Linked DNA regions of Schizosaccharomyces pombe. The gene in region 1 interacts genetically with each later gene. Each region holds a gene or a part of one and is shown on either strand. Other genes may lie near its edges.

Evidence for each region.
Region 2: of cgs1 (region 1) and rsv1, extra expression of one rescues a mutant of the other (dosage rescue), as found in Schizosaccharomyces pombe (one study listed by BioGRID).

Annotation. Positions count from the first base shown.
Region 1 is NC_003424.3:3,641,334-3,649,698, reverse strand, and holds cgs1 (cAMP-dependent protein kinase regulatory subunit Cgs1), read right to left. Parts: upstream 6,671-8,365; 5' UTR 6,461-6,670; coding exon 6,331-6,460; exon of another isoform or gene 6,066-6,330; coding exon 4,957-6,065; 3' UTR 4,063-4,956; downstream 1-4,062. Other genes in the region: dtd1 (D-Tyr-tRNA deacylase), read right to left, coding at 98-140; SPOM_SPAC8C9.04 (uncharacterized protein), read right to left, coding at 1,481-3,424; SPOM_SPAC1142.09 (uncharacterized protein), read right to left, coding at 6,854-7,201; DNA-binding forkhead transcription factor for ribosomal proteins Fhl1, read right to left, coding at 7,480-8,365.
Region 2 is NC_003423.3:2,884,928-2,890,479, reverse strand, and holds rsv1 (DNA-binding transcription repressor Rsv1), read right to left. Parts: upstream 2,031-5,552; coding exon 744-2,030; 3' UTR 501-743; downstream 1-500. UniProt on the Schizosaccharomyces pombe protein: Involved in maintaining cell viability under glucose starvation conditions. May have a role in regulating genes involved in gluconeogenesis.

The DNA of each region.
Region 1 (8,365 bases):
TAAATAAGTTCATAAACATTGAGTTTATTAATAATTTATTTTCTTATTACCGATTATAAAATCCGTCCAAACTTAGTATATATTGATTAATACTTACCAGAAACAGAAGCATTTAAAACTCGCTGAATTACTGCCTTCATGTTTTCTACTGTTCAAAAAAAAAAAAGGTAACGAAGGATGGACAGAACCGAAGACTATTAATAATAACAACAATAATATATACTACGACAACAAAACTGCAGAAGTAGTTTTAATAGTAGTAAAGCAAAAAATTCTATATAGCAGGTAGTGTGTTTGGTAAAGGGTATATTATACTGTTATCAAATAGAAAATTTATGGCATATAATAATTGAGTCGGCGATCTTAGATAAAAAGGAAAATACAGCTACGTTATGCGGTAAAAAGTCATGGCTGACTCCGGGATGAATATGAAATATACTCAAAAATAAGCGATTCATGGAAAAATTGTTAAAAGTTAATGTTTTCAACCGCCATGTAGATTTTGTCATTTGTTTAAATTATATACACTGGTCTAATTTACTATTTAAAATACTTAGTACATGCGCAACTTAATGTAAAGCAAGCATACGGAATAGTACGGGAAAGGGTATCGGGTAGGAAATGGTGATTGTGAGCCGATGTATCCCAAAACTAGAACTAAAGGGTATCCGAAGCGTAAAAAGTTCCACGGCCTCAAAATCCCATATAAACTTACATTCTACACTTACTTAACCCAGACTAAAAAAATTAAAAAAAGAAAACATGGGAGAGGAAGAAAACTTACACAAGTGAAACGAGTAAACTGAAATAGTAAAAGCCATTTATTTCGCAAAACTTGAATTGCTGAATCTAATAGGTATAATCCGTACCATCGGAATCAACTTAAAAGATTGAGCAATGTACAGCAAATTTATGTGTATATATGTGCGCATATGGCTGCATGAATAGTTTAGAAACAACATGCGCAAAGAAAGCACATAGCAAAGAGGAAAAGGTATAAAGACTTGAAAAAACAGCATGTTATGCTAGTCAAATCATTACAAACAAAATCAAAGAAAACATAACGCAAACACTTCAGTGGCATAGTCGATCACACAATAATATCCAAAGTGATATAATGGAAAGCAATTAAATACGAAAAAAAAAATCCTTAAATACAAAGATGGAGATTTTTTAAAATTAAGACTACCCAAACCAACTTATGGAAACTAATGAGTGATTTGAAAAGAAAAAGACTGGAATACAAAACAGCAAAATAATGAACGATCGATTGTTAGATCAACAATTCGGCTTTATTGTCGAATAATTAAACATCAATAATCCAATTTCAAACAAATAGCCCAGCAACACTCATTCACTCACTCAAATCATCATCATCATCATCATCATCGACACCGTCATGTCGCTAAAAGGTGAATTTTTCAACATACAAAAATAAAAGACGGAAATCAAACATATGCCCAATGCTTCCAGGTAAACCCTAGTGGAACAGTTTGCCAAAAGACTTTTTCATACGTTTGAACCAAGACTTCTTGGGAGCTGCTTCACCATCAGTGGCGGTTTGTGCCTTTCCATCAGCCGTCTCATTCTCAGCTGTCGCAGTGGCACCAGCAGCAGGAGCTGGCTTGGTAGTGCCGGCAGCATGTTCCTCAGTAGCAGAAACAGGAGTAGGTTTGGTGGTGGCAGAACCAGGAGTAGGTTTGGTGGTGGCAGAACCAGGAGAAGGTATGGTGGTAGCAGAACCAGAACCAGCAGCATGTTTAGACTCGACGGTATCAGCAGAAGTCGGGATAGGAGCAGCAGCTTCAATAGCGGACTTCTTTCCTCCTGGTACAGCAGCCGACGTAGTACCGGGACTGGAGGGAGCAGATGCTTGTTTTGAAGGTCTACGTGCATGCTTGGAGGACTGGGCTGATTTGGCAGGCGTGGAAGGAGTCGTTGGCTCTTGTCCAGTAGAAGAGGGTTTCCTGGCAACCTTATGTTTCTCGGCGGACGCCTTGTCATGTTTTGACACCCTTTTGGAAGCAGTGGTGGTTTCCTTGGAGAAATCATGAGCAGTCTCGGTAGGGGCAGTGACAGCTTCTTGCACTGGGTGTTCTGCAGTGGTACCTCCAACGGCCACTGGGTTTTCAGACTCGGTGGGAATGGTCGAGGGGACATTTACCTCGTTCTTGACAGTGGAAGAGACACCCTTGCCAACATCGGTCACAGTTTCAGTAGCTTCTTGGACAACGGAAGACTCGTATTGCTCAGGTTGCTGAGCACGGACGGGTTGTTCAGCAAATCTCGCGATTTCAACCGTTTCGGCGGTGGGATGAGGAAGGTCCTCCTGTACAGTTTGTTGCACCTCTTCAAATGCTCCCGGAATGCCACTAGCACTAGCTCTAGCACTGGTTGTTGCCTCATGCGTCACACCTCCCTGGCCAAGGGCGATGGGCGATTCTTCTTCCACCGTTACTGTGGTGGTATGGGGGATGACATCTGCATGTGGAATGTCGCTCGCATCCTCGAAAACCGTCTCTTGCTGAACGTTTTCACCAATGCTTTCAAGTACGTTATCATTCATAATTCCATCGGCCACTGCATGTGACTCAGCAGTGGCAGTAGTAGAGGCAGAGGCAACTGCTGCTGTTGTCGTAGCTGCTGCCTGATCATGCGTAGTATTTATTTCTTTCGATATCATAATAGCTTCAGGCTCAATGGGCTTCAATTCTGGAATTTCTTTCTCAGCGGTAGTAATGGGTTGTGAAGTAGCTTTCGCCATGTTTTCCTCTACTTTCGAAGAAGGTTGCGCAGCAGATGTCGTTGCTGGCTTAGACGTAATCGAAGCTGGGGAATTACCGAGTTGCTCGTCATTGCGCTGGGGTGCGAAATGTTCGGCTACGACGTAATCAGCGGATTGTGTGGTTGCAGTAGACTTTGTAGAAGCGGATGAGGAGGAGGAGGAAGGGGAATTGGCGGGTTCGGTAATACTTGTATTGCGTGCTTCCGTAGTTGGCACTGCTGTTGACGTGGAGGCAGAGGGTTTGTTGTCAGTAGGCGGCTCTACAGTACCCAGAGCTGAGGATGCTATGGGTTCCAAAGGCTCGTCAACCTGATCAGCGTCTTTCTCCACTATAGTTTGTGTAAATCCTGGCTCTTGTAATATGGTTTGTTCTTGTTGTTCCTCTTGCGCGTGCTGAGCTTCTTCCACAGGTGTGGAAGAGGCAGATGCTGCTGCTGACTGCTTCTTCTTTTTTGCAGCCTTCTTTTTGGCGCGTTTAGCGGCCTTCTTCTTGTTATCCTTGGTGACGGACGCCTGGGAAGAATTGTTATTCTGCTCGACCGCGTTGGTACTTTTCGAATCCAGCTTCTCCTGGACTCTCGACGTTACTTGGTGAATTTCATTTTTCGTCTGTTTAACAATATCGGGATTCGTGGTCATATTCAACTCAATTTTTGTTCTACTTTTACACGCTCTGCGTTCTTGTTTGGTGGTTGGTAGAAGTTGTAAATCTTGGCGTAACTAGAATTTATACGAAACCCTGTTATGTGAGTGAAAAAATGCATATGTAAACAAAGTTAATTCAGACGAAAGTAAGACACAAAACAAAACATTTCTTTACCAAAACATTGCTTCGCTGATCATCTTCTTAATATTACAATTTATCTCGAGTGCTTAACTTTATTCTGCAGTAATTGTCATTTCTACCCGTTGTGCTTGTTGTGAATAACCTACCCTACTAAGAACATTCACAGTAAATATGTAGTATGGAATATGGGGAAAAAAATTTTTCTTGTTTAAGAAAACCTTACGCATAGTTCGCAACTGTAGTCGTTTTTTTATTTATTATGTTCGCAAGAACATTGAATGTACGAAATTGAGTATTCTTTAAAATTTTTTGTATCCCATTTCGTACGGATTTGATAATTGAATAAAAGTCCTTTCGCTTTTTGCTGAATTTATTTGTCTAACAAGATATTCGTTTTATAAGTTTTTTACACAATTTGCATTCTCCTAGTTACACGTATCGTTTATCGCAGACTGTAGTTTCATCTAATTTGCACCCCTTTACTCAAAACTTGGTAAAAATTTTGTGTATTGTATTAAAAAACTATTCTCAATTCTTGATATTAGTCAATTTCTCATAAAATTTTTAAAGTTATGTCACGTAACTACAAAAACCGAGAACTCACTCAGTTTGCATACAAAACATCCACACTCTTGAATTTTTAACACTTCATCCCTTTCCCCACGTCTAGCGTCTGCCTAAAGCTTTCTAAGTATTTCATGCTTGCAAGTGTTTACGGACCACGGTAATTCTTGTATAATGTGCGTTACTCCAATGCCAAGTACATTATTGAATGCAGCTGCTGTTTTGAAGAGTGTGTGATTATTCAAAAAACAAATATAAGAACTCTCCATATAGATAGAAATATTTGACGATATCAAATATCGATTAAAAAACAAAAAAAAACAGGATGAAGAGAACGATAAAATAACTGTCATGATCCGTACGAAAAAAAAAACACAAACTAAACGGTAAGCTTCCAAACATCAAATGCTGCGATATTCGACAGATAAAAATAATAAAAAAAAAAGGAAATTTCAAAAAGAAAAAAAAAAACAAAATAAGAACAGTGAAGTGGTAATCACGAATATAATTGGAATTAAAACATTAACAAACCATATCCAGTGCCATGCTAGAACAAGACATAAAGGTTTTCAAAGAAATAAAAAAGAATAATACGTATATATACATTATCACATATAATGCTGAATTAGATAAGTAATCCAAACAAAACATGTTCAACATGAATAAGTAAATTATTCCAGGGATAATGGTAAACAATCACATGCATGCATGACCAATATGAAAAAGTTAGAAGGCAAACAAACAACAGGGAAATTCTTTAGCATATCATGACAGGTCATTATTACAAAGATAGTTTCAAAGAAAACAGATTATAGAAATTTTATGCTTTAGTTGATGGAGGTGACCTATGAAGAGATTGGTCACCATACTCATTATCCATTCCCATCCTGGCACGAGGTTGATTACGCATCAAATCGATCGCGTTACCAAGTAGTCTATTAAATGTAGGTTTATCAAATGTAGCAAGTTTCAGGCGAGTTTTTGCCTGTACCGTCGCATTTCTCACTGTTTCGTGAATTAAAGCTAGTTCACCAAAGTAATCTCCCTTGGTTAGGGTAACGACTACGCCTTTGCCATTCTTCACTACTTCAGCCTCGCCATCCTCTATCAGATAAAACTGGTTACCAATGTCGCCTTGTCGAATAACGATGCTACCGGCTTGATACACGACTGTCTGAAGAGCATCGGCAATTTTTTGTCGTTGATATTTGTCAAGGCTTGAGAGAATGGGAACTTCTTCAAGGAGGCTTTCATACAGCATCCTCTGGCGATATGCGTTTTCAAATACGATACGACGGAAACTTGTACGATCTAATGCGTAAATTACATTATTTGGTGTTTTGGAGACCACCGATGCAGCTCGTGGAGCATTATACATGAGTGCCAACTCTCCAAAATATTCACCGGGAGAAATCGTAGTTATGTAGTTACCATAACCACTCGAAAGCACTTCTTCAGGGGTAATATTTAGTTCGGGCCTTTTGTATACATCGAATTCACCTTGCTCCACAATATAAAAGTAATCTCCAACTGCTCCTTGGACAATGACAGCAACACCAGCCTCTCCAATCCGTTTTTCAGTCATAGCGTTCAGAACCTCGTTGTAATGTTCTTCATCCAAATTCTTAAACAAAAAGTTCCCAGCAACTGAGCGCTTTAGTCTTTTCAAATCTTCAGGATCCTTCGGAGGAAAGGTTCGTTTGGTCTCTAGTGCAAATGCACTAGGATTCATCGACTCAGTGGAAACAGATTGGCGACGCAACAGATTGTAGTTTTGCGGATATGAAACGTTCATTTCTTTTAATCCTCCCAATTCAGGAACGTATTTGGCATCCGGACCAATTGCCTCGGGGCCAGCAACCATATCGTTGAGCTCAGACAGGAAATCGCTTTCATCTCCGTCGCTAAAAGACTCTGTAATGGTGTCGCCTAAAAGAGAAATTTGTTAACATGATAAAACAAAAAAGGGTAAAATTTGTGTAGTATAGAGTGGGAGATTAAATGGGTACAGGGTCCTTAAACAACTTTGTGGAATTATTAACAGCCAGGAATCATAATTGCTGTTTGCTGACTAAATTTAGAAAATACTTACTATAGAGCAAAACAAAGTAAAAAACCACAAAAAAGAACCCATATTGACCATCATTTACTTTTCCTCTCCACTAAACATAGCTATCCAGAAGCATCTACTTACCTCGACGAAATACTGAGCGCTCAGCTTTCAGCTTTTCTCCAAAAAAGTCATAGCAAAATTGAAGTACATCTGAAGGATTTTGCTCATCAACAAGGGCTTTTAGCTCCTCATATACTTCTTCGAAAGACATGTCTCCTAAAGTTTACGTGCCTTTCTTTCAAAAAATGCGGTTTTTTGTTTCTTACTCTCAGTGAATCACAATCTCGCGGTTTTTGTTCGCTTCAGCTTTTCCTGACACTTTAATCAACCACAAGAGGTAAATTTTCCAAAATAAAAGAGCTGAATTCAGCTATACAAATCAGTTATTTACCTTCGTTTGTTACGGTTGAGATGTATGTTTAAAGTCTACCTGAGGCGTTGGACTAAAATGGATGGATGCCTGCATTAGCTCACTCATACGTCATAAAATGTACTACGCAATGCCCTGACTCCATAATATGGGGTTTATCGAAGCGCATAAAAAAATAGAGAGTAGAATGTTTGACGATGCAACATAGCTTGCGTTTTCCAGTGTTTCGGTATATTATTTTGTGAAGCTTCTTGTACATCCGTGAGTTAAGTTAGTTAAGAAATGAATAGTGAGCGGTCTATGGAAAAGTGATATGATAAATATACATCTATAGTAAGAAATTAGAATCGCTGAATATGAGTTGTTTGTTTTCAAAACAAATTCAATGTAACTTTTGAAGTCTATCAGATCAGAGAGCTTGCCCGACAGGATTACAACAATAATAGTTTTGGTCTTATTAAAAGTGCTATAAAAACAATCATTGAAGTAAATATGCTTTCTGTATTGGCTAAACAAAGGTTTCAATGAAAACGTAAATAAGGAATCGCTAATGTTCACAGATAACAAAAGCGAATCCTCCATACCCTTCCTGCTTTGCTATTAACTTTTTCGACAAGAAAACGAAAATGCTTATTAAATGAAATAAAACCAGACGGCAATTTATTATGTAAAGTATTAACTAAGGTAAACATTAAACACATGAGAAATAAAAGTAGAAACCACCCAAAGACCAAGTTGTGCAATCACTGTCAAAAAAAGAAAAATGAAACAGCTTATGCATGCTGGTAAGTGTAATTTTCGGCACTAATGTATTAATTAAGAAGTCATCAACAACGTTACGTGCATGAGCATTAGTAAATTCAGGTATAAGAGGATGATGTCTCGTCCAACGGTCGCTTTACTCCTCGTAAAGCGTCGCTTGAGTTTGATGGTAAATTCATGCCCCTTACTGAAGATGAGTCGTCAACATTGTTTCCGTTCTTTGCATTAGTATCAAAAGATCCATTTTCGTTTTCCATTATATCTCTTTTACTAAAGCTTGATGCATTTCCAATGGAATTCATCCTTTGTCCTTGATTGCCTGTTTCAACTCTCTCTAAAGTATCATTAGGCGAAGAGTATAAAGGCCGATCAGAAGTGAATGGTTTGTTTATTGGTATGGTGTGTAGATTTTGATGGCTTGTTATCTCTGATTTGCTTTCAGAAGCAGTGGAGTTGTACGACGATGATCGAACTGACGATGGCCCCGCGGACACATTAGCCATTGCTCCTGGGGGTAACGGGTCTCCAATACTCTGGCGTGTATCTGGTAACTTCGAAGGAGCAGATGGCCTAACATATGGAGGTGGTCCAACGTTTACTGCAGGACGTTGAGTGACTGAGATACTAGGAGACGGTGATGTTATGTTAGGGTGCGGCATTGCAGTCGGCGCCGGATTAAGTTGCTGTGAAGTATAAGCTTTACGACGCTTTGCCTGTTGTTGCACTTGTTGGGGCCCTTGCATTTGCGTTTGCTGCTTTTGAAGTTTTTGGGCTAAAGCCACAGCGAGAGCATTCGCAATCGCTGTGGCTTGCTCCGGGTTGTTGGCAGCGGCAGGTCCTAGCTGCTTATTAATGTGCTGTTGGAGTAGTGAAATTGCTTGAACGGCTTGCTCGTTGGGAGCCTGTTGCTCTCCATTTGCATTCTTGAAAAACTCGGGGTTCAAAGCAAGTTTCCCATCGCGCATAATGATAGGTTGAATGCCA
Region 2 (5,552 bases), on another chromosome or scaffold:
TTTGAAACTAAAGGCAGAAGCCAAATGTTTTAAAATTATTTTACGTCAAAAAAAATAAAAGAGGGATGATGAAGTTGGATGGATGGTAATGAAAAGTCGTTAATCAAATAAATAAGTAGTAAACACAGATGTTTCCAAAGGTAACTTTTCTCAAAACAAACTCAAGCAGCACGCGCCGTTAGTGTGAAATGAAGAACTTAAAACAAAAACGTGTTTGTTACATTAACTCGTGGTTTATAACAAGTAAGATCTTTTTTATAAGAATTTGCAAAGAAGTTGGATTTCCGAGGACGTGAATATATAACAATGTGCGGATGGGATAGCTAGCTAGCTTTCCAACTGGCTTGTCACAGACCTGGGCAACTCAAGTCAGTCAGGGAGGAAGGAACCAAAGACGTCAATTTCTTCGTTTCAGGTAAGCGTAAAAAGGAAAAAAGGTATATATAATTAGTTTTTTTAAAAAAAGAAAAAAAAACGTAAAAAAAATTGAATGGTTTATTAAAGACGAAGAGGGTAAACGAAACTAGGAAGTTGAAACAGTCGCAATCTGTTGCAACCTACTTTCGACGTCATCATAAACTCAGAATTTAAGCTGCGGAAATGTTACCTCAAAATTGTGGAGGATAGGACAATACTTTACAAGGTGTTACCTCGGTTAAGAACCAAAAAACGATCAGTAAAAAGACTTCAAAATGTAAATAAGTGAGCGGATTCATTCACCTATCATGGCTTCAATAGCTACCTTAATCATAAGATCTGGAAGGAGCAGTATGGAACAAGGTATGCAAAGAAGAGGTGGCGGTAGCGTGAGACGGACTTGAAGGAGGCTCCAGGGTAGGAAGAGCTTTGACACTGCTTTTAACAGGATTAAATGTCTGATTTGGACTTATTAAGTTAGAATTAGTTATCTTTGGTAAAGCAAGGCCGTACTGTTTAGTATCGGCCCTTAGTAATGTGGAGCCGTTGGCGCAAAGTTGTGCACCAAATGAACTGCCTGGAGAAAAGTAGGAAGGGGCGGGAGGTGCGTTAACAATCTGTGGTTTACTTGACGGAAAGGTAGTAGGATACATTGGAACAAAGGATGAACTAGGAGAAACCGGAATGTTGGGCGAAACAGGGATACCACTGTCGAATGGATAAAAGGGTAAAGAAATTCCAGTAGGATGAGGATAAGCATTAGGAAGATAATATTCCATGCTTGTGTCATTAACAGTCGCTGGAGGAATGGGGACGGACGGGAAATGATTATACATCACTGAAAGAGGTAGACCTGAACGGGATGAAGTAGGAGGTTGACGAGCATCCCAAACAGACACGGGAACGGTCAAGGTACGCTGTCCATTAGTGTTTTGGAAGCGTGGTGTTGATAAAAACATAGGATTCGATTCTGTAGGATAATTCTGATTAAAATCAGGGACGTTGTTGCTAGCAATTGGTGAAAGAACGTTTTGTAAACGATTCTTTCTGTTTTCGGAAGGTGGACTTTTAGAATTGGAGGGAGAAGGAGTTGGAGCAGCAGCGCCTGCTGATTCTGAAATAGAAAACCGTCTCAAAGGATCTTGATTTTTTTTATTTAAGGAGCCGGTGGCATTGGAGGCGGAACGTCTTCTTGGTTTTTCAATTAGCTTAGATTGGGCTTGCAAGTCGGTGGGAGACAGCGAGACAGAGGTGGGTTTGGCGTAAGCAACTGAAAGAGCAAGTACAGCGGCTTGAACCGGGTCAGTAATCGAGCCATCCTTGCTTTGATTTTGACTTTTATCAGCTTCTTGACCTGTAGACTTGTCACCTTCCGGTTTCGAATCAGGGGCTTTGTGGAGGTTGACATCCAGTGTCTGCTCCGGAGTAACAAGGGCCTTTCGCAAGTGTGTTCTAACATGTCTGATCAATTCATCTCTTCTCGTGAAGCGTTTTTTGCAACTTGGATAGCTGCATTCGAAAGGCTTTTCACCTGTGTGGCTCCGAATGTGACGGACTTGGTGTTCTTGACGATGAAAAACACGCTTGCAAAAGGGGCATTCGTAACTTTTCATTTTGCGGGAGAACCAAAAAGCACTTAAATAAAGACAGAGAATTTCTTATATTCTCAAATTAAAGGAAAGGTTTACTAGAGGTAAAGATTAGTAGAGTGGAAAAGGCCGATTCCAAATTAAGCACGAATCAACGGGAATACACGCGAACCAGCGGATCAAGCAGGCAATTGTCGAGAAGGAAGTAGTAAAAAAAAAGAATTAAGATTGTGGGGGAAGTAGATAAACTTTGTATTAAGAAAGCTTTTATAGTATAACAATAAAAAAGAAAAGGCTAAAATGAAGTTGAGGCTTCATTCATCTTTTTCGACAAATCTTTATTCTTTGTATTAAAATTGAGTAATCGGGGATTACTCACACAGTTCAAAATCTAAAGTTCGTGTCTTAGCCGTAATAAAAAAAGGCGATTGTGCAGCAGATGGAAACAAGTAAACGCCCGTCGAAGTAAATATGAAAGGTTTTTAGTCGAAATCGAAGAAACCCCTTGGCAAGCAAAAAAATGAAGAGACCAGCGCTAGGAAACAACAAAACACAAGGAAAGAAAAACAAAAACAAAAATTTGAAAGTAGAAACGAAATTAGTTGCAATGGGGCAAGAGAAGAAGCAGCGAATTGCTAGCAAGGAGATGTGCTTAAACCAAGGGTGAAAGAGTGCTACGGCACGATTACAGACTGAAAATACGTCGAGGGATACAAGAAAGTTGAAATTTGATGCCAATAGAAGAAAAGGCAGAGGCTATGAAAGGCAGAACGACTCGACAGACTAGACGATTGGAAGTAATAAGGCAAGCAGCGGTCTACGAGGCTTGAAGAGTGGAAAATAGATGAGAAGGATTTTTTGTTTAATTTAATAATATTTGTGTGTCAAGAGGAAAGGAAGAAGAGCTTGAGACACGTAGAAAGAAAAAAAAAGGAGAAAAAACCGTCAACACTGACAAGGAAGAAAACAGGAGAGCTGAGAATTCTAGTAGACAAAAGGACAAGCTCAACGATATGAATTCAAGTGAGTATACAACAAGTAAGCTGCAACCACCTTCGGCCTTGAAAAAATGTGAAAATTGCTGCTTTTGGGGTAATAAGTAAAGGAAGAGAAATTTACGACTTGAAACTAGGTGATTTACCCCATTGTTTACTTACGATGCAAAAGCGGGGTAAAGTGGATTTTCTCCAGTTTCCTAATTTTATGACTCCCATATGGCCTAAGGCTTTTTCCAAGGGCAAACCCTCTCATTGGTTCATTGGGTAATCGTGACGAAATGGCATGCTTTGCACTGACGGTATAAAGTGGGGATTAACCAGGCTAATTTGGAGGTAAGGCCTCGCTCGCGAACCAGTCCTAACCAAAATCTAGCAGCGAGTTGATGCCGGTAAAGCATTTAAGGTTCAACCCCTAATTCCCCCCAAAACTACTAAACCAAGTATGTAACCTTGTTGTTAAGCATCACATACTGTTAAATCCAACAAACTTCGTTAACTAAGTTTGCAACGATCTAGAATGAGAGATGCAGAAAGTTTGTTTAAGGATGTATGGATGATTTGTAAGAAATGGATCTCTTAGCAAAGCAGATGGGGATGAAGAGGAGGAGAAGGTGAAAACGCGTGCGTTGTTTAGCCCCCCCTCTCATCTGAGAAATTCAAATTCTAATTAACCCTTCACCAACCAAAGGAAAACAAACAAAGCCAAATGTAAAGTCAATCAAATGGCTCTGAGGGTAGCGAGGTCGAACAATGGGGAGCGGGGCAAACTAGGGATTTCAGGTGTAGCGGGCTAAAGACAAGAGTACCTCCGCCAACCAAAAGCACCCCGCAGCGCACACTAGCAGTAACAGTAAGTAGGATAGACGACTGAAAAGCAGTAGCATGCGTAACGAAGTCCCGGGAAACTGCGGTAGAAATGCGATAAAAAAAAGTATCAGACTACATTATATGACAAGAAGAACGTAGCAATCTTATTTATTGTACTATCTAAAAAGTCTACAATCTTCATAGTGCCCATGTTTGTTACACTCATAGAAAGAAAGAATTCCTTTCTTGAGGGTTTATTTTTCTGTTTTTCGTTTTTTTTTTGTTTTAACAAGTGGATACGTGCCTCGGCAGGTGTTTCGGTCCGTATAGAAACGCGGGAGCCTTTGATGTGAAATTAGCCGCTTATCGTTCATTTTTTTTTTATTGCTAACTCCAACTATTCATCGATCATGACAGTCATCCGTCGAATTCATTTACCGGGCTAATAGAAAGCCTTTTTTTATTTTTATTTTTTTTTTAAAGGGTTCTCTGGTTTACCTACTTTGGTTGATATGTGCGATGGAATTGCAATGCCCTTAGACACACACACATGTATAAACTTTTTCATCCTTTGCCAAGCTAAGTAACGCGGGCACACCCACCTTCGTTAATTAAGAAACGAACTATTAATCAGTCATGCATGGATCATCGTCATCTAAGAATATCGTATTTACGAGCAACATGCTACTTTGAAACGAGTGCTGATATTGCAGCAGTACCAGCTTAACGAGCTTGTCCCTTTAACAGGACGTTTAGTATGAAATCGTTGCGGTAGGATACGTTACGTTGCGTCGCGCAATCTTGCTAGTGCAATGCGTTCCCAGATTTCAAGTAAAAAATCAAAACAAAAATAATCTTGATCGATATGTGGTAACGATATTCGATCGCTCTCATGAATCTCTTCTCCTTGAACCTTTTTCAATCCTTCTTCTTGCCTTCCCGTCTCGGATCTGACCTAATTTACTATTTACTTACTGGCAAAATATTCTACCCACTCCTCCTGTATACTATACTAAAGCCACCGAAATCGGATTTACTTTTCAGCAAAATTAGCGCCTTCAAAAATGTAGTGGGGAAACATTTATGTATATGAACGTGACATTTTCTGGAAGCGAAAATTTTTTGGGCACAATAAGACATGGGGCATCTTTCAACGAGAGAATCATCGCTATATCAATCTAATTATCGCCCCACCGATAAATAGTCTTTTGAACGAAATACAAACAATTATCCTATTATCAACAGTCTTTCCTTTCACTTATACATTCTTTTTAACTTTGTATATTGACTCGGATCGCAAGCATAGTTTTGTCTCTTAAACTCCATTACACCTTCTAAACAAAACTACTATATAACATAGTACAATTCTAATTTTCCTTCTTCTTATTTATTAATTTATTTATTAAATTATTTTGTAAACTTCTTCATTCGCTTTCCTCAATGGCTTTTGTATTTGTATATTGGTAGATTTGAAATCATTCGCTTCCTCAACCCAACATCTTTCCAGCATATCATCTTCGATGATCCCTAAACTCACTCCTTTAACTTAGCTTGTCTCTAGCTCGAATTTTAGACCTTTATCTTGCATGAGAATTGCTATGACCTCTTTCTCTTTATGATTATACTATCTCTTTTCATATACTTCTTTTAGTGCATGTTTTACCCGCCGCTTCTAATATCTCCTTTACTTCTTTCTCTACTTTATCCCCACTTTACTTTATCACCCCCTTCCTCCTACTTT